Drosophila melanogaster: one gene and its partners. The protein of the gene in region 1 interacts with the protein of each later gene in a pairwise test. Each region holds a gene or a part of one and is shown in the gene's direction. Other genes may lie near its edges. The genes, in order: CG18371, kappaB-Ras, CG42748 and Nadk1a.

Region 1 (2,931 bases):
ATATATATTTATATACAAAATTGATCTTTAAAGAAACCCCCTTTGTTGATATCAGTGATTAAGTGCAGTTGAATTTTCCCTGTTAGCCTTGCTTATCTGGTGTTTATCCGTTCTGCAAGATCACTCAATTTCTCACAATTTCTCTCTTAGCTGCTGGTGGCTCTCTTTCTCCCACTTCACGCAGTTTGCCTTCGGAGAAGCTGAGTTTTGTTTACCGACTTGCTGTTGTTGTTGTTGTTGCTGCTGTCGCAATTGAAGCGCAGTTTCTGGCAGCAACAGCATGAGCTATAGTATCTATAGATATACCGATACCTATACTTATGCCTACATGTACATACAAACATATATACCCGTTCGTTCGTAGCTCCAACGGCGAGGCATGCGAAGTCCCTTCAAGCGTTTCAACGTACTTTTTTTTTTGCTGCGCTTCGGTTTGTTTGATTTGGCTTGCTCACCTTCGGCTCGACGGCAACAACAACAACAGCAGCAGCAGCAACAACAACAGTATCGAACGGACGTCGACGGAGGCAGCGACGGAACTGCGAATTCGATGGAGACGTCGGTGGCGGTCTCAACCTGAAATCCAACCTGAAACTCGAAACGAACCCGAGGCTCGTGCTGTGTTTCATTTGAATGGGCACACGACGAACGGAGTTCGAGTTGGATTGGCCACAGTGTGCCGGCCAAATTGGAAGCCTTTGGTTCCACTTTGCGAAAACTTTTAAATTCGCTTAACCAAATTGACAGCTTTAGGGCCATTTCAACATACGTACACGTTTGGTTTCTTAAAATGTAGATGGTAAAGGGGGAAAATCTTTTCGGTTGCACGCTAACGTCAGGGTGGAAGAATGAAAAGCAGTTAATTTCTAGAGAATATATCGTATCGTTAATATTTAATAGTCTTCCTTACAAACCTTAGACATAATTGTGAAAAAGTATAATTTATGTAGTCATCGGGAAACCAATTTCTGGAAGCTGTCGGACGAGTACTTGTAACTGTAGTCATTTATCACAGGCATCTTTTGCAAATACCTTGGCTCAAAGGACCTCATTTCCCCATGCTCTCCCTTTTGGTCTCTTTCTGTCTACCCATCCCGCTTGCACTTGATCCTGTGCCTAGGCCATAAATATCGTATTAAATATTTGCCTTAGTATCGCCTGCGATGTCGGCGTTTCGCGTTTGCATTAACGCCGAATGTTGTCTGTTTATCTCGCTAGTTATTGTTCGCGCTGCCCATAGGTGGTGTTTTGCCATTTTCGAGGGGGGTGTTCATGTGTCCATGGGCCATAGGGGAAGGGGAAGGGGGAAGGGGGAAGGAAGGAGGCTTGCTGGCAAGAGGAACAAGGGGGGGGGAGGGTTTCGGCTCTGGTTTGGTGGTTGCAAACTTTTGTGGCATTGCCAGTTGATTGGATTGCCATGAGATGAACTTGGCGTCGCATGTGAATGTGTGCGTGTGTGCGAATGAGTGTGGCAAGTGATTTATGAGTCCCCAGTGCTGATATGGGATACGCTATACGCTATGGATATACAATAGATACAATGTCATTAGCGCTCTCGCCGATACACTGCTCCTTTTTCCAACGTAAACTCCCTATTTCTTTCGTCGATTTTAATTTAAGCACATAATGGCGATATCATTGACACCCAGTAGTTTAACATTTAATTTTAGCAAGTTTTGCTTGTGTTAACATTATTTGGGTTTCACTGTGCTGCAGAGCGCACATTCCGAAAGGAAACACTTAACTGCTTAAGGGAATCTAGGAGCTTGCGACATTCCTGTAACGAACACTGACAAAAATCAACTAAATTTCAACAAGTGGAGTTTCTGTTTCTATCTCTCTCTCGATCGACAATAAGTTGGAGTTATTTCTAGAAAAAACGAAGCATATTGAAGATGATGCAGCCAGCGGAACAGATCTTCTCCTGCGGATTCGAACTCTTCGGGCGAGTACAGGGTGTGTGTTTGCGGAAGCAGACACGAGATCTGGCCACAATGAACCAGGTGCGCGGGTGGGTGATGAACACGGACGAGGGCACGGTGAAGGGACAGCTGGAGGGCACACTGCCCAAGGTCAACGTGCTGAAGTTCTGGCTACTGAATATCGGCAGTCCGCGCTCGATTATCGAGCGGGCGGAATTCACGCCCACCAAGGAGATCACTTCGCACAACTTTAGCCGATTCTCGATTCGCTACCACAATGTGGCAGCAACGAAAAAGGCCATTTAATAAAGAATTTAGACTTGTAGTCTACTACCGAAAATTGGAACTGTGTATTTGCTGTAACTATTTGTTTGGACCTTTAAATTGAGCTGCCTACGAATGGAGCCCAGTTGTGCTTCTGCGAGCATCATTTATAAACCTCTAAAATGAAAAACAGGCTGCTGCCAGCCACTAATTAAGCCGCACAAAGAAATGCTCAGCGCAATTACATGGAGGCTGGCACATCCACTATGTACTTATTTTAATATATGTATCTACAAAGTAAATATATGTACATATGTATATATATATATATGTGAGATGACTTGGTTAGACAGACACCTGCAGCTTCAGCTTCAGCTTCAGTTTTAGCCTCGGCTTGGCCACATTTCCAGTTGAGCGACGCCCCAAACTGGCAATGAGTTTTTACGGCACACAAACAGCAGCCAACAGGCAACAGACAATACTGGCTATAAGGAAAATCTAGAATAACAACAGAGAGCCACAAATATTTATCGCAGTGCGCTGAACAAGAACAGATTGACTATTTGATTGAAGGTGAAAATCTAGTAAGTCGTGACTTCTCAAGGCGGAAGGAAATGCCTTGAAATGCATTTTTGGGTAAATGTTATCTGTTATGAGAATAACGGTAGATATATATATATGAATTATACGTATACATATATGTACGTAATCCGCTGTCTATTCAACGAATGCATTTATTGCATAG
Region 2 (4,823 bases), 6.6 Mb from region 1:
TATAAGATGGGATTGCGCTCCTCCAGGCCATCGAAGCGTTCCCCCTCCGCCGGAACGGCCACGGCCAGTTGGTGCTGTGAGCGAGAGGTGCTGCGGCCATTTTGCAACGAGTTCTGTTTTATAGTTTTGCCCTTAGCTGCTGGTTTCTCCGCCTTCGAGTCTCCCATCACGGAGGAAGAGCGTCGCAGCGGGGGCATCCATTTCGGGCGCGTCGGCTCCTTAGCGGCCAACTTCTGGCTGGTGGACTTTTCCAGCGAGCGCAGGCTCACCTTGTTTTCCTTGAGGAAGTTTCGGGACTGTGTGACGCCTGTGGGAACGGAGACCAAAACAAATTACCAACTGGTTGCCATGGCCAAGCGGCTGTTTGGAAAAGAAATCTTACGCGGCACCGAAAAGATGCCCTTTAACGTTGGAATCGGGCGAACTGAAGTATTCGACATGTTCCACCTACTCCCGAACTATAACTAGACGGCTGGGGCTCCAGAAATGTGATCTCGACTACGACAAGTGGAAACTGCGTCGTTGTGTGAAGTAAGGCACAGGTTCAAATGACAATTTTGAACCAGCTGCTTGTGATTGTACCTGCTCATCGATGCCCGATAACATTATATATCGGTTCGGTGCTGACCCGCGGCTGGCCACATTCGAGCCAACTAACGGTTTATGGGATGTCCTAGTGTTTAAGTAAATATTAAATAAAAAAGCAAGTAGAAATCAAGTGAAATTCTTACTATTCTGTAATTATAGTAAAGTTAAAATAAAATAAATAAAAAAATATAAAATAAAATAAAAACTCTGCACAGCTTCTAATTTTAAATATTTAATTTTCAAAGGTAATTAACCAAACCAATTTATGGTAATACATACTGTATTAATTTATTGACTAACCTATTGTAAATTCATGAATTCCAGCACCTAGTGGACTGGTCTAAGGCAATGCTTCCGCAGATAGCTAACATAACGGATTGCTACGATGAGTGGGTTCACAAGCCGGTGGACAGGCCACTGCGTCTCTTTGACCCTTGGTACTTGGAGATGTGCACCAAGACGCCCTGGTGGCTGGTGCCCCTGTTCTGGATACCAGTGATCGTGAAATGCGCCGTGGAGGAGTTCACCACCGCCTGGCAGGATAGCAACCAGGTGAGTAGTCGCGCAATCTTCGCATTCTTGGATACGATCTTCTAAAAGTATCTTCTTTCTGCAGCTGGCTGTGTTCTCCGGTTACTTTTTATTTGGCGTGCTCCTGTGGTCTTTCCTGGAGTACACACTGCACCGCTGGGTGTTCCACGTGAAGCTGAGCAACAAGAGCGGAAGTTGGCTATGCACCTTCCACTTCATGATCCATGGCCTGCACCACAAGGTGCCCTTCGATCCGATGCGACTGGTGTTTCCGCCCCTTCCCGGCGCAGTGCTCGCCGCGGTCATCTACACCCCGCTCAGCTTTGTCCTGTCCCATCCGCGAGTGATCTTGTCTGGAGCTCTGGCCGGCTATCTGTGCTACGATATGATGCACTACTACCTGCACTATGGGAACCCTTCGCTATGGGCCTTTGTACACATGAAGCGCTATCATCACCACCACCACTTCTCGCACCAAACTCTCGGTTACGGCATCAGCAGTCCCTTGTGGGATGTCGTCTTCAAAACGAGAATCCATCTCCGCAAGCTGAGATACCAACTGCGCTGGTCCTAGCTGCAATAAATGGCTAATACAGTGCTACTATAGAACAAATTACATTCAGTTTTCAACGCAACAGAGTTGCTGCCGCAGCAAATAGTTCAATCAAATCGGAAATTTGGTTTTTAGCCTATTTGTGTAGGCTGAATACTGAGCATTAGGCTTAAGAATTATTTGTAAGACTTTTACCAATTTCTATTAAACAGGAATACACTTCCAATGATACCAAAGAACAAATGGAAAATCCTTTTTGAAAACAGAAAACTGGGCAATCAAAGGAACTATTGGAACTATTTTGGAACTATTTTGGGGAAAAACAAAAAATTTTCGGCAATTTTATGATGCGTCACCAAAGTTTACATTAGAAGTTTGGTACCTTACCTATATATGAGAGGGAATACTTTGATTAACTTTTAATTCCTTTGGTAAATGCCTTATCATCACTCTGGAGCGTTTAAATATTTTTGTTTAAAATCGAATAAATAAAGAAGCAGACAGACGGTTTGTATGAACACTTTCATTTACCTATTTCATACAAATCTGGTACAATCAGTTCAAGTTTGTTTAATAATTAATATTATATTATTAAAATTAGCTTAAGATAATTGTTTAAGACCTGTCTTAAGTGGAATTTCTCATTGGCGTTGCTTGGTCACACTACCAAGAATCCAGCGAAAGTTTTGTTTATTTTTTTGGGTCCCAATTTCTCCTGCTGGAATAATGCTAAATGCCAAGATCGGGAAGGTCGGCAAGGTACTGGTGTGCGGGATGAAGGGCGTGGGCAAGACGGCGCTGATAGAGCAGCTGGTCTACGGCCACGTCAATCCCGAAACGGTGAGAATGCCTTTGGCAGAGCTCAAAGTAAAGCTGATGTCTCATATCCCGGAGTTCATTGCAGGAACTGCATCCAACCATTGAGGATATCTACGTGGCCAGCGTGGATACAGGCAGGGGCGGAGCCCGAGAGACCCTGCGCATCTACGACACGGCCGGATTGCAGGGCGAGCAGCAGCAGCTGCCACGCCACTACCTTCAGTTTCCAGATGCATTCGTTCTGGTCTACGATCCCATGGATCCGCGCAGCCTTGACATGCTGGCCGACATCAAGGCTGACATTGAGAAGCACAAGGAGAAGAAGGAGATTCCCGTTGTGGTGCTGGCCAACGTGAGGGCACGAGCAGCCCCAAATCCCGTCGAGAAGGTCATGGACCGCGCCAACATCTGGTGCCAGCGAGAGCGCATAAAGCACTACACGGTGAACGCCATGGAGCGTCCCTCCCTCTACGAGCCATTCACCACGCTCTGCGCCCGGCTGCACCCAATGCAGACGAAGAGCACGTTCCCTCAGCTGCGCCAAGTTATGCAGAACCGGCAGAAGAGCGAGGCTTAGCTGTTTTGAACGGACGAAAGGGAAGAGATATAATTTAAGTTTTATTCGGGAGTGTCCCAATAATCTCCGATACTTAACAGTAGCTATGAATGCCACAGATTTGGCTTTAAGTTCAAGAGATCCTTGGGATCTCCCCAATCGTACTCGTATTGATCCATTTAGAGTCTACTTGCCTTGTATTAACTGTTGTGCTTTAATGTGGGCCAGAGCCCAAGCCACTTGTACTTATGTCTCTTTGTGTGTGTCCAATTGTATCTACTATTTATTACACCGACATGTCTTCTCTCATTCCGCGAGAATTAAGCGTAATCAGTATTCACTGCTCAATCGCAGCTCAAATGGCGCGTAGTGATTAAATAACCATGCCGAAATTCTGCTCTACGGCAATCCCCTTGGATCAGTCGTCTGCAAGCCCCTTCCTCGAGCGCAATGCTTTCGCGTGCCGCTTTTCTTACTGTTCTCCTAACGCTGATCTATGCCAGCCATGCGGCTGCGGGATTGAGCATTACAGTTCCGGGCACAAAGTGGTGTGGACCCGGGAACATAGCAGCCAACTACGATGACCTGGGCACTGAGCGCGAAGTGGACACGTGCTGCCGGGCGCACGACAACTGTGAGGAGAAGATTCCGCCGCTGGAGGAAGCCTTTGGCCTGAGAAACGACGGGTTTTTCCCCATGTAAGCGTGGATTCCATAGCACCCATGCTGATCTTGGGATCAATAATCGTGCGCTCCCCGCAGATTCTCGTGTGCCTGCGAGTCGGCCTTCCGGAACTGCCTCACCGCTCTGCGAAACGGACACTCCCTGGCTCTTGGCAAAATCTACTTCAACACCAAGGAGGTGTGCTTTGGCTACGGGCATCCCATCGTTTCCTGCCAGGAGAAGCAGGCCGACCTGTTCGAGACACGATGTCTCAGCTACCGAGTGGACGAAGGTCAGCCGCAGCGCTGGCAGTTCTACGACTTGGCCCTCTACACACACGTAAGCGGCAGCGAGGAGGACTCCCGAGATTGAACTTCGACGTCCGGCGATAAGCCCTCAATTGTTTACAAAACAGATTGTGCGGGGAGCGAAACCTAATGTGATTAGGATTTTGACGGTAGGTTATTTGTGTAATAAATTTTCGAAGCTTAAGGCTAAGTAGCCTGGAATTATATTAAAAACTGAATTCGGAGGCTCAATTAAAGTTCAAAATGATCAAGAAAATATTCGGAGTATTTTATATTTCATCCAGATTAAAGTGGGATTACCTTATAAGTAATAATTAATGTGATGTGCGCATCAGGTAATGTAATCATCTTGTCTACAAATCGTTGATATCATGTCAGCCCGCCGACGCTGGGATTGTGAAGAACGGCATGTCGTAGAACTGCCAGACCTTGGCCTTGGACTTGTCCACCTGGTAGCGGATACAGCGCTTGCGGAAGGTGCCCTCCTGGTACTGCTTGCATCCGGTGGTGGGATGTCCGTTGGCAAAGCACCTGCTCCTGCTGCCATAGTAGATACGACCCAGAGTTTTGGCCGTGATGCTGTTCACTGCCTGCAGGCAATTGATAAACTGCTGCTCGCAGGTGCACTTGAGGCTAAATTGAAAAGTGTCTGTCAATGTGCACAAAATCGATAAGGGACTTTAGGAGGTTTACCGCTTACATGGGAAACCAGTCTGTGTTGGTGGGCAGTCCGTGGAGTGCTCCGTGGGACTCGATAATCTCGTCGCAATGGTCGTGGGCACGACAGCACTTGTCCGTCTCCCGT
Region 3 (5,393 bases), on another chromosome or scaffold:
ACACATTTGTAATATTTTAAGCATAAGAAAAGTTAGTATGCATTCAATTTTATTGTTTGTGCATTAATATGTAGTTATTTTTACGCTTTTAGGTATTTAAATATAGTCCGACATCAAATTAAAACAAGAGAGGACGCAATAATCAAGTTGCCCGACTATTACATATCCGTTACTTAGCAGTCAAATTAAAAATCTTTTTGCTTTTAGCTTTTGATTAAAATTTTGAAATCGGTACCCAGGGTACCACTTGGAGGATCATGAGTTGCAACGGGGTCGTTTAAAACAAAATCAATGTTTGGGACCTACTTGAGTTTTCAAACTCCAAACCAAAAATTTGGTTTTCGTAGCATACGGAGGCATACATAATGTTAATATTAAAAATTAAATATTTGTAAAATAAAAAAAAAATTAAATTTCAACGCTTTTTCAAAACTGTGGGTGTTTACTAATGAAGAAATGGAAAAACATTTTACAAAAGTGTGAGCGTGACTTGCGTGGCTGGAATCTGTATGCTTGATCTCAACTCTATAGGCTTCCATAGTTCCTGAGTTCATACGGACGGACAGACGAACAAGACCAGATCGACTCGACTATTGATCCTGATCAAGAATATATTTACTTTACATGGTCAGAAACTCTTCCTTCTGCCTCTTACATATTTTTCAACGAATCTGGTACACCCATTTTACTCTACGAAAATAGGGCAGGGGTATAAAAAGTTGAAGATAACTGTGCCGATTAAAAACTGTGTCGATTAAAAAATTGCTACATTTTTATAAAGAAAGTCCGTATATACCAAATGTATATGTTAGAATGTTACTATTTTTTATACCCGTTATATAGGGTGTATATATTCTTGATCAGGATTAAACGATCTGTCCGTCTGAACGCCTGGATCTTAAGAACTTATAAAGTTAGAGAGTTGAGATTTGACATGCAGATTCCTAAGACGCCAAACAATTTTTGGCCACGCCCACTCAGGTTTAGCGGTTTTTTCCAATTGGTGAATATCTTGTTGATTGGAAAGCTGCCGCAGATTTCCATGTAGTTTTTCGAGTATAACATACATATGTACATTACATACATATGTACACATAATAGTCGCCTTCGCACACTTTTCTAGTGCGCTTCGTCACTATCGTCCACGGTAGTATATTAAGGGTACTTCAGGCACTACAAAAAATATCTTATTGCCTTCGATGTAAGAGATATATCGCAGAATGGTAATAATATCTACACTTGCAATATAGTTATTATCCATAGTCACAATAGGTCTTACCGCACTTACTACATAAATATGTACATACATATGTTGGTCGCCAAGGACTTTTACAGATTTTAATTTGTTTTGTAATATACAAGAAATAAAAATAAAATTTAAAAAAAAGCTCTTTTGTTTGCAAACAATAATCTGATTTTGTATTGATTACTTAAAAAAATTTTACGAACATTTACATATACATATTTAACCTATATTTCAAATAATTGGTATTAAATATACGCGTATATATATGGGGAACATACTAAAACTTTTAAAATTTTAATAAAATAATTAAAAAATTTAGAATTAAACTTCGATTTAGTGTTTTGTGTAAAGAGTTTCTTGACAGTCTCAAATATGTGCAAACTTGGAATTTGGTGTTTATTTTCTTGTATATTTAATATTTTTAATTTGATTTGATTTATAAGTAAAATAAATATTGTTTAATTATATTGAATAAAAAAATTGCGTTTAATTAAGCAAAAAACCTTTAATTTTTAGCTTTAAAGTCAAAAATTCAACTTATTTCACAGTGTGTAAACAGTTTCTTGACAAACTGTATATATTATTGCGTATATTTGTATGTATTTAATTGAACTATTCTAATATGTATAATATTTTAAAAAATGTTGTTAGTTTCAACGTTTGCATACATACTTTCAACCCGCTTTCAACCCATTCTACCGCTCCACTGCAGCGGTAATGTCAGATATACGTGCATATATATATGCAACATACATAATTATGTATGTATGTACAAAAATCGCAAAGCTGTCTGCGTATTTTGTTTTTGGCTTAAGTCATACCCATTTAAGTGGGTATAAAAAGGGTTCATGCCATTTTCGTCGCGCCCTTCTCTAGCCGAGATTCTTCTTTGATTCCCAATGTTTTGGAACAAGCCTGCCTGTATTCTAACCAGTTTCTTTGTTCGCCTTGCTCATGGCTTTAAACGGATCTCTCTCGTGCCTCTTTCGTGTCTCCGCTTTATCTCGGTTCTCTCGGCCACGTTTAGTCTAAGACACGTTTACAGCTTTGCTCCGCTCAATTCAGTCTCTATCTGAGCGTTGTCTTTGCGAGTTAGCCATTTGCAATCGTGCGGTCTTTTCAATGTGTCTGTAGCCGCCCCAATTACATATGTATTTCGTCTGTGGATATATGTACGATGTACATATGTATATAGGATGTACACATTTGTACATATAAATATATGAACAATGCCTATTTCTCCAGCTTTCGTTTACAGTAGTTTTGAGAAAGAAGTGTATCTGAGTGTTTACGTGAATATTGAGGGCACAAAACAAAATAGCAGAGCAAAGAAAAAATAGCTCGTTGTAAATTAGACATGGAGAACATACAATGCCTTTCAAAAAGTTATAAAAGTGACCAGAAGACCGCGGAGATTTCGTTGTCGCGCTTGTCATATTGCCCAACCGGTCAGGACTCTTTCTACTGAACATTCTATTGTTATTTTATATAAGTATCTATGTACAGATGTATGTATGTTGAAGCCGAATAAAAAATTAAGCATGGATTTGTATATAAATAAAAATGTTTACTGCATTCCCGACATATCAACAACACAATACATGTAAATGTATGTGTATGTACATGCATATGATCACATTTGCTACTAGAAAGCTCTTAGAGACCTCACCGCTTTCTATTTGAAAATACATTTACACAGTTACACAAAAAAGATATGTTTAATACGGCCATATAAAATACTGCCATCCACTGCGAAGTACATAGTACAATTTTGACTAAAACGATTCCTTTCTATGGCAGCTACGTATAACATAAAGTCAGCGATCCGCAAACAAGGTATACCGATGTATATATATTTTATACATGTATATTTTAAAATAAATAAATAAAAGCTGTGTAAATTTATTACCATAATGGTCATGTAAAAAAAACGAACCGAATAAATTATGTTTATTCCAATTTTTGTGCGGTTTGTTGTTTTGAACTTACACTGCCGCATAATTGAATAGGTTTGACTATTTTAAATTTTTTATAAAGAAAACAGTCCTCCTTGGAATAGCAAAGATTTGGTTCTGTAAATTTTGTTTTTATATTATATGTTTTTATATTATGTATGTTTTTATATTATTTATATTATATAAGAAGAAATCTCCATTGTTTTTGGCTCATCTGAATAGCTTTTACCCTTTTGACTTCTCTTTTTGTTGGACCGTGTGGTTGAAAAAGGTTGCATTCTTTTGTATTCTATTATTTAAGACATTCAATACCTGTTTATTTATAAAATGGCCGTGGAAAAGCTTTAACCGAGGTAAAGTAAAAGGCTATATGGATATGGAATCTGCGAAGAAAATAGGTCGAAGTCAAAGCAATTAGCAATTTTGATCGTAACTAAGCAGACTATATAAAAAATGAGTGGAGGGAAAAACATGCAACAACAGCATCGGAGGAAAGACTTATCATACGAACTTACCAAATTCCACTCATTCTGATGGTAAAATAAGGGAAGAATGCGAACTTAAAGAATTTGAAAAAAAAAACTCCATTATGATGCTCGAAAAAAAATCACGACTTCGATTTGCCCGAAAACACGGAGTGGAACAAGGAGTGGAAGACGGTAACCTTCTCCGACGAAAAGAAGTTCAACCTTGATGGACCTGATGGTTATAATTACTAATTTCACGATATCTTTTTATGGAACATGGTCCAGTTCCAGTTTGTCACCTCGAAGATGAACGCAAATGCGTACTAGGCTGTACCTTAAAAGGGTTTTCCAACGGTTTCTGAGATTTATGTTCATATTCAATTGACGTTCCATTATGACACTGATTTGAATCGTAAAACAGTGGATTAAGATTGCTTGAGTGGCCGCCTTGCTCCCCTCACATCAACACTATCAAACACATTTGGGGACCCTTGTTATGGAGAGTATAAATTAAAATAAAAAGTATTAAAAGTATTAAATTAAAATAAAAAAATAATATAAAAACAAAACTAACAGAACCAAAACTATTTTAAAAATGACGTTTTTTTTATACAACAACAACAACGACAATTTATTTCGCTTAAATCGTAGTCCACTTTAAGGAGCTGCAACGTTTCGAAAATTGGAAAAGGTCAAACCATAGACATTACAATAATTATTCGAAGTTCTAAATTAAATAAATTATTCTAGTGTCTTTCGTGAAACCTACTGTAAGCGGTACTGTATGTTTTCAAAGCCTCAAAAGCGTTTTTTGTCCCCAAAAGATTTAGCTTAAAGAAATTATAATTCAACTAGATGTATAAACAATTATAAAATACGTCATTTAAATTTTAGGTTAAAGTAGCAAAAAGGTCTGTTTTCGACCATATAAAGTATATATATATTCTTGGATCAACTCGGCTGAATATGACTTTCAATTCAACTTTCGGATATATATCTTTCTAGTTCTTTGTAAAACGTTATAATACTTCAAATTCAATTTATGTAACTATTTACACTGCACGAAATGCTTTTCAAATGCTGTTATGAAAGAAAAAGTGTGTTTGGAACGTTTTTTGTCTAAGCAACAGCAGATTAGAAAATATGATTAAAACAAATATATATCTTCTTAATTTCTGTTGGATTTCTTGAAAACGATTCGATCAATTTCAATTCCTAAATATTCAAATATTTAGAACACATTTCCGTAGAAAATTCGCGAAGGATAATTATTATAATTATTTAGCAACAAACACGATCACTATCCATTTTGAGCAATAGATTTTGTATGAGCGAATACACAAGTTGTTTCAGGCCCTTGCACACATTTTTATTACACTAAATTGCTCGATATAAAAAATTAATTCTATGACTTTTGAAAAACCCGCTACTTTACTGCATTAGCTTTTTAAGCTAGAGATACAATGACGGTAAACTAAACATTTGATAAGGCTCGTTCCAAAATATTACATTTTTTATAGTGTATTGTGAAGTCACAAAACACTAGACTCTTTTTACGCAATTATTAAAAACGAATTAAATAAAAAATGTCTTAAAATAGCGGGCGTGTCAAAAACATCTATACAAATCAAGGAAAAATATTCAAAAGTTTGGACGTTGAGCTGCTTGAAAGCTTTCGAGAGGGTTTATGATGCGGTTCGGAAACGCCTCATTTTACCTATTTCT
Region 4 (5,140 bases), 480 kb from region 1:
TATGCAGCGGGCGCGTGAAATGGCCAATGGAGACGCCTCTACGCCTGGGAGTTCGCCAGCTCCGCTAAGGAAAGCACTGCCAATCAGTTTGCTGGAAAAGCGAACTCAGTTTCGGTAAGTTGTAGCGAAAAATGTCCTTGAAGTGCCAGGCATTTTTCAATTTTAAACTTGAGTAGAGGTGTAATGTCTTTAAATGAAAAAAAGTTTTTAAAATAACTTAAGAATACTTTTATGAAGTGCTAATGAACAAGAAAAATTAAGTTTTGTATATAGTTTTAGGAAGCTTTTCATTTTTTTATATTCAGTGTAACTCAAATACTTTAATTGTACGAACCTAGATGGTTTTATTTCGGTTGCCAAGCAAATCATTGGTATACCTATTATTTAAACATATAAGCCAGTAAACTTGAAAACCCAACAACACTTGCTGTTTATTTTTTATAAACAAATCTGATAATAAGCGAAAGACCAATTTAAACTCTCGCGCCTTAGTGTGACCATACGGTGATAACTGCTGATATGGGTATTTTTTGCTACGCGCACAACTGCCACACAGACGTGAATTGGTGCAGGAAAAAAACAAATAACATGGACCCATTGAAACTCGCGTTCGTGAAATTGCAAATCAGGAGCTAGTCGCCGCCTAGCCCAAAATCGGGAAGTTGTCCATCGAAAGTGGGTGTCGTCGGCAGGTGCAACGCGTTAGTGGGTCAAGTTGAGGCCAACACAACACATCACTCACATTGGCGCACACATAGGTGCGCAGTCACAGATATACACACATACAGCTACAAGCAGGTGGCCAAAACAATGAAGTCCTCTAGCTCCATAACGGTTAACCCAGCCCCAACGACCACCCCGTCGGCCGCGCAAACGGTGCCGAAGTCGGCCTCCCAGTGCAATGGATCCTACTACGACGACCACGACAATCAGCTGCTCCATGTGAACAGCATACGACAGGGACAAGGAGGCACTGCAGCATCATCAGCACCGGGTCCTGACCTGAATAACGGCACTGCCAGCGATGACCTCCAGATGCGTATGTGGTGGTAAGTGGGCGGTTCAAAGTGATGACAACACCTGATTGCGGTTTCACGCCAGATCTGGCCTTTTTTTTGCTAGCTGAGGATCAGCTGTTTCGTGATCAGCTGTTAGGCTGTTGCAGTTTATATTTGCATTTGCTTTATCGATCCGTCTAAAAAACGGTTATTATAACAGATGTTTTAGTTATTGCTAGTTCTTTAAAATCATTTGTTTTGACAACTATATAAGAAACATAATGTCTTAAACATAAATGGAATACAATTCTTTTCCAGTTGCTGAACCATCACATTTCATTTCAGACATTCCTTTTAACCTGTCTCGAGATTAGAGGTTTGGTTTAAAAAAAACAAAACTTAAGTACGAACGGAGACGAAATTTGAATTGTTATCAAATAAGTACAGCCCTGTTTTTCACAGCAAAGGAAATGTACCACCTACGTACACTATGTACATACAGTATATAGTGAATTGTTGGCAATCAATTAGAGCTGGCGGGAAAATGCTTGCCTCTCGAGTGGCCCACACATGTTGTTTGGGTTCGTAATTTTCTGCGAATTTTAACTACTGTTAACACGTGTGACGAATGTGTGACATGTGCCAGATGCAGGCCACTAAAATCGATTTTCTGCACTTAATTTCCGATTTTTTCCTTTGAGTGTCGGAAATTATAGGCTTAAAGCCTCTGTTAACAGGGCTGTACATTTTGTTATGCCAGCTTTTCGAAAAGTAATAATTTCGTGCTTAGATTGTTCTTATGGCGCTATAAAACGGAATTACCCGCTGACTGCATGCATCAATCATATTTTTGTGGGATTTTGATAGCAGCAATTAAACAGCCACTGGCCGCTGATTACATTTACATAACAGTGAGAGCACCTGTTGCTCTAAAGCATACATACATATGCATGACGCGTGGCTGCGCTCAGCTGATTTCCAACCAGCGATGTCCGGCAAAAACCCGCCAAACGATCTGGCCGTTCATTGTTTACAATCGCTCGGCTCGCGTACTTTTATTTTCGAATCGGAATCGCGCACAAATCGTCCAACTTAATCACCTTTTCGGCGTCGCAGCTCAGTTATCGCATATTCACCGGACAGCACGGTCGTGTTCGCTCTCAAACTGAAACTCACCTGTCGATCGTGGAACGTTGTTTTGTTGCTCGCTTTTCGACTCGGTCGTTTACCTACCTTACCCGCTTGCCGTCGATCGCTGGTCAGTTTAAATGTTTAAGCCGCCGGAATGCTGGAAGCTTCGCCTTGGCTCGAGCTAGTGCTAAGGAGAAAATAAAACAGATTATATAACGTGTAATTAGAGCACTTTGTTGGCATGCCACTAGTTAACGTTAACGTTAACGTTAACGCTGTTTTCTAGCGCACACATGACTTGGCATTTCTGGGCTCCGAGCCGCAAGCCCACTTTCGATTTCCTTCTACGGTCTGCAGCCAGCTGGCTAGCAATCCATCTAACTACAGAGACTAGATATTGCAGATACACTCCAACTTCTTGCAGACTTTGCTAGATGGTTCTGCATTAAACTCAGCTCAATCTGTAGAATCCACTCAAGAACTGGAGGTCAAATTATACAAGTCGGGTTCTCAGTTTAGTTGCTTAATAAGAGCTTATCACCTCTAATAAGTTGCTATCGTTAAATGTTGCTACCTTGAATCGTGCACTTATTTAAAAACTTATGCTTGAACTTAATTAAAGCCAAATTTGTGTAAAAGATCATAATTCTTTATTCTAAAGAGTCCAATCTACTACAGATCATAAAGAATTTAGTAACCTAGTTGGACTGTCACATTCTTTGACTCACTTAAATAAACAATAAAGCAATGTTGCTGGCCAGAATAAATAAACCCAAAGGGGGTTAATTATTTATTCAAACTAAACTAGCACAAAGTTTGAACACACAACTGAAAGTAAAGCAATGTATTCACTGTATTAGCTGGGCGCTTCATAAAATAATTCAAACAAATTAGTTATAAATATAGTACATTTTTGGAATATATAAATTATATAAATCAAAGCGTCAATATTGTAGTTTATTACTACTTAAGATAGCCATGGACTAAGCCCGGTCCATAGCTCGATGTATTATTTTTAAAGTGAAAATTGCTTGTTAATTGTTTAATAATCTATGCAAAGCAATTTCCCACTGATTACATTTTAATAATAAAAACAAAGGTTGCACGTGTACTATGAAAGTTCAGCGTTAGTACCTGCATTTGCAACTTTGGAACCTATGAATTCATAACGAAAGGCGTCATTTGAATTATGTATATCATGGCAAAACCCGTGCTGACATGTGGGCACGTTGTGGCCAAGTGGTTACACAAATTCGTAGGTGCAGTTCCCTTGTCCACTTGCCGATCCATTCAATGATAATCGCTGCACTTAGTCGATGCCGCTGCGCATTTAGCGCTGCTCGCTTCGTCCGTTTATTGATTAATTAATTTGTGCTCGCCGCCTATTTTGTTTCAGTTTTCTTTGTATAACTCATGTCCATAAGTCATTTACAATTCGCTCTATTGTCATAGTCCGATTACTACGGATGTAACTGGCTATATAGCGACTGGTGGCTTGTGCCTTCCTTTGTTTGTTTGTTTGATTTACAGAAGCGTTTCAATGACTTGTGCTTACTTGTTGCTTCCTGATCTGGGTAAAAATAGAAGAGCGGGCGGGCTTTGGATCACGCGATGCTAACATTTTGGTTATGCAATATAATAACTATATAGTTAATTAGAATTCCAAAAGCGAGTGATCACTCGATTGAAACGACTGGGAAGAGATGATTGGATTGTTGTGCAGCTTAATAACAAATACGCCCCTCAAATAATAGTTGCAATTCTTGATAAAATCAGTTGAAGAATCTATTTCCCATGTTCTCTCTGTACTCCTGCTAATTCAGCAAGGATCCAAGCTTCAAGAAGACCTCCTCCACAGGTACTTCCCCAGTCTGTTAAGGCCTCCATCTTATCAGGCCACTCAACAGAATCTTGGGACGACCTCTGTTAATGAACTGCTGATGGGGCACTTTCGGAAAGAAACCGAAATGATGGGGAACTTCAAGCTGATCGCACACACAGGTCACGATTTCTAGATTAATGGCTGGCGATACTGTTATGCCCAAGTGGGTTGTTGTTTTCAAAAGAGCTGCAGAGAAGACTGTTTAATTGTGGTCCAAGTGGACGTTTTTTTTTCGATTTTTGGCTTGCTCAAAGGTTGTTGACCAAAACGCAAACGCGATCACGAACGAAAAAGATTTAATTATATTTCTCGTTATAAAGCTAACTGTGTTTAGTACGTCCGAGTTATTTTTTCGTGCCGCTTTGCCAGCGGATTTCTTGCCAATTGATTTATACTTGACATCGTTATGTCGTGGTGCTGGCTAAAGCAGGCGATAAAAGTTGGCCAAGTCCAAATACCGCTAAACCACCCCAAATTCCCCGCTGACGGAAGCTGACTAATGACGCATATGAGGCCTTGTGTCGCTCCTTTCTAGCCATCTCCTAATGACTCGCATCTCCCTCGATTTGTATGGCTCTTTCGTCAAAGCCGGAACTACGTTGCTGGTCCGTTAGGTTGGACAAAAATAAAAAAGCAACCAAAACAAACTATTCGATTGCTTATAACAAATTTATTTTGCACAAATTTCACAAGAAACACAAAACCGGTTCAAATACGAAAATTCCCCCCAAAATACAAAAAAAACTGATCGTTTTTGTTTATAAACTTTTACCACGCGCCAAAGCAGTTACCGTTTTTATATCCCACAAAAATGTATTGCATTCTTTTGTTACAAAAAATGTTAGCTTTGTTAACACCTCCAGCAAAAGGGAGCAAGGTTAACTCGTCTATTTTACCATTGGCTCAAAATCAGGGCCATTTCAAGGGTGTGAGCTTCCAAGAAATGCCAAGCGAAATGTTAAGCTGAATTTTCCAATCCAAATTTATAGTGGCAAAATGTTTTAGCAACGCGAATCACCTGTGAACATTTTGAGTGATATTTCATAATTAGCAATCAAAAGACTTGAACATGACGTGCCTGTCGGACATTGACCTGGCCACCCTGCACCAGCATCGCCTGGAGGAGATC

The links.
Region 2: the proteins of CG18371 (region 1) and kappaB-Ras interact in a two-hybrid assay, tested with the Drosophila melanogaster proteins (one large-scale study listed by BioGRID).
Region 3: the proteins of CG18371 (region 1) and CG42748 interact in a two-hybrid assay, tested with the Drosophila melanogaster proteins (one large-scale study listed by BioGRID).
Region 4: the proteins of CG18371 (region 1) and Nadk1a interact in a two-hybrid assay, tested with the Drosophila melanogaster proteins (one large-scale study listed by BioGRID).

Annotation. Positions count from the first base shown.
Region 1 is NT_033778.4:14,026,839-14,029,769, forward strand, and holds CG18371 (uncharacterized protein), read left to right. Parts: upstream 1-1,781; 5' UTR 1,782-1,895; coding exon 1,896-2,228; 3' UTR 2,229-2,258; downstream 2,259-2,931.
Region 2 is NT_033778.4:7,443,271-7,448,093, reverse strand, and holds kappaB-Ras (kappaB-Ras), read left to right. Parts: upstream 1-2,301; 5' UTR 2,302-2,398; coding exon 2,399-2,512; intron 2,513-2,576; coding exon 2,577-3,068; 3' UTR 3,069-3,497; coding exon of another isoform or gene 3,498-3,745; 3' UTR 3,746-3,808; coding exon of another isoform or gene 3,809-4,082; 3' UTR 4,083-4,270; downstream 4,271-4,823. Other genes in the region: CG11125 (uncharacterized protein), read right to left, coding at 1-307, 383-440; Fa2h (fatty acid 2-hydroxylase), read left to right, coding at 913-1,140, 1,205-1,693; CG30503 (uncharacterized protein), read left to right, coding at 3,498-3,745, 3,809-4,082; sPLA2 (secretory phospholipase A2), read right to left, coding at 4,393-4,651, 4,719-4,823. UniProt on the Drosophila melanogaster protein: Atypical Ras-like protein that may act as a regulator of NF-kappa-B activity, possibly by preventing the degradation of NF-kappa-B inhibitor cactus.
Region 3 is NT_033779.5:22,132,026-22,137,418, forward strand, and holds the start of CG42748 (uncharacterized protein), read left to right. Parts: upstream 1-2,307; 5' UTR 2,308-3,082; intron 3,083-5,393.
Region 4 is NT_033778.4:13,542,424-13,547,563, reverse strand, and holds the start of Nadk1a (NAD kinase 1a), read left to right. Parts: upstream 1-2,114; 5' UTR 2,115-2,256; intron 2,257-5,000; 5' UTR 5,001-5,080; coding exon 5,081-5,140.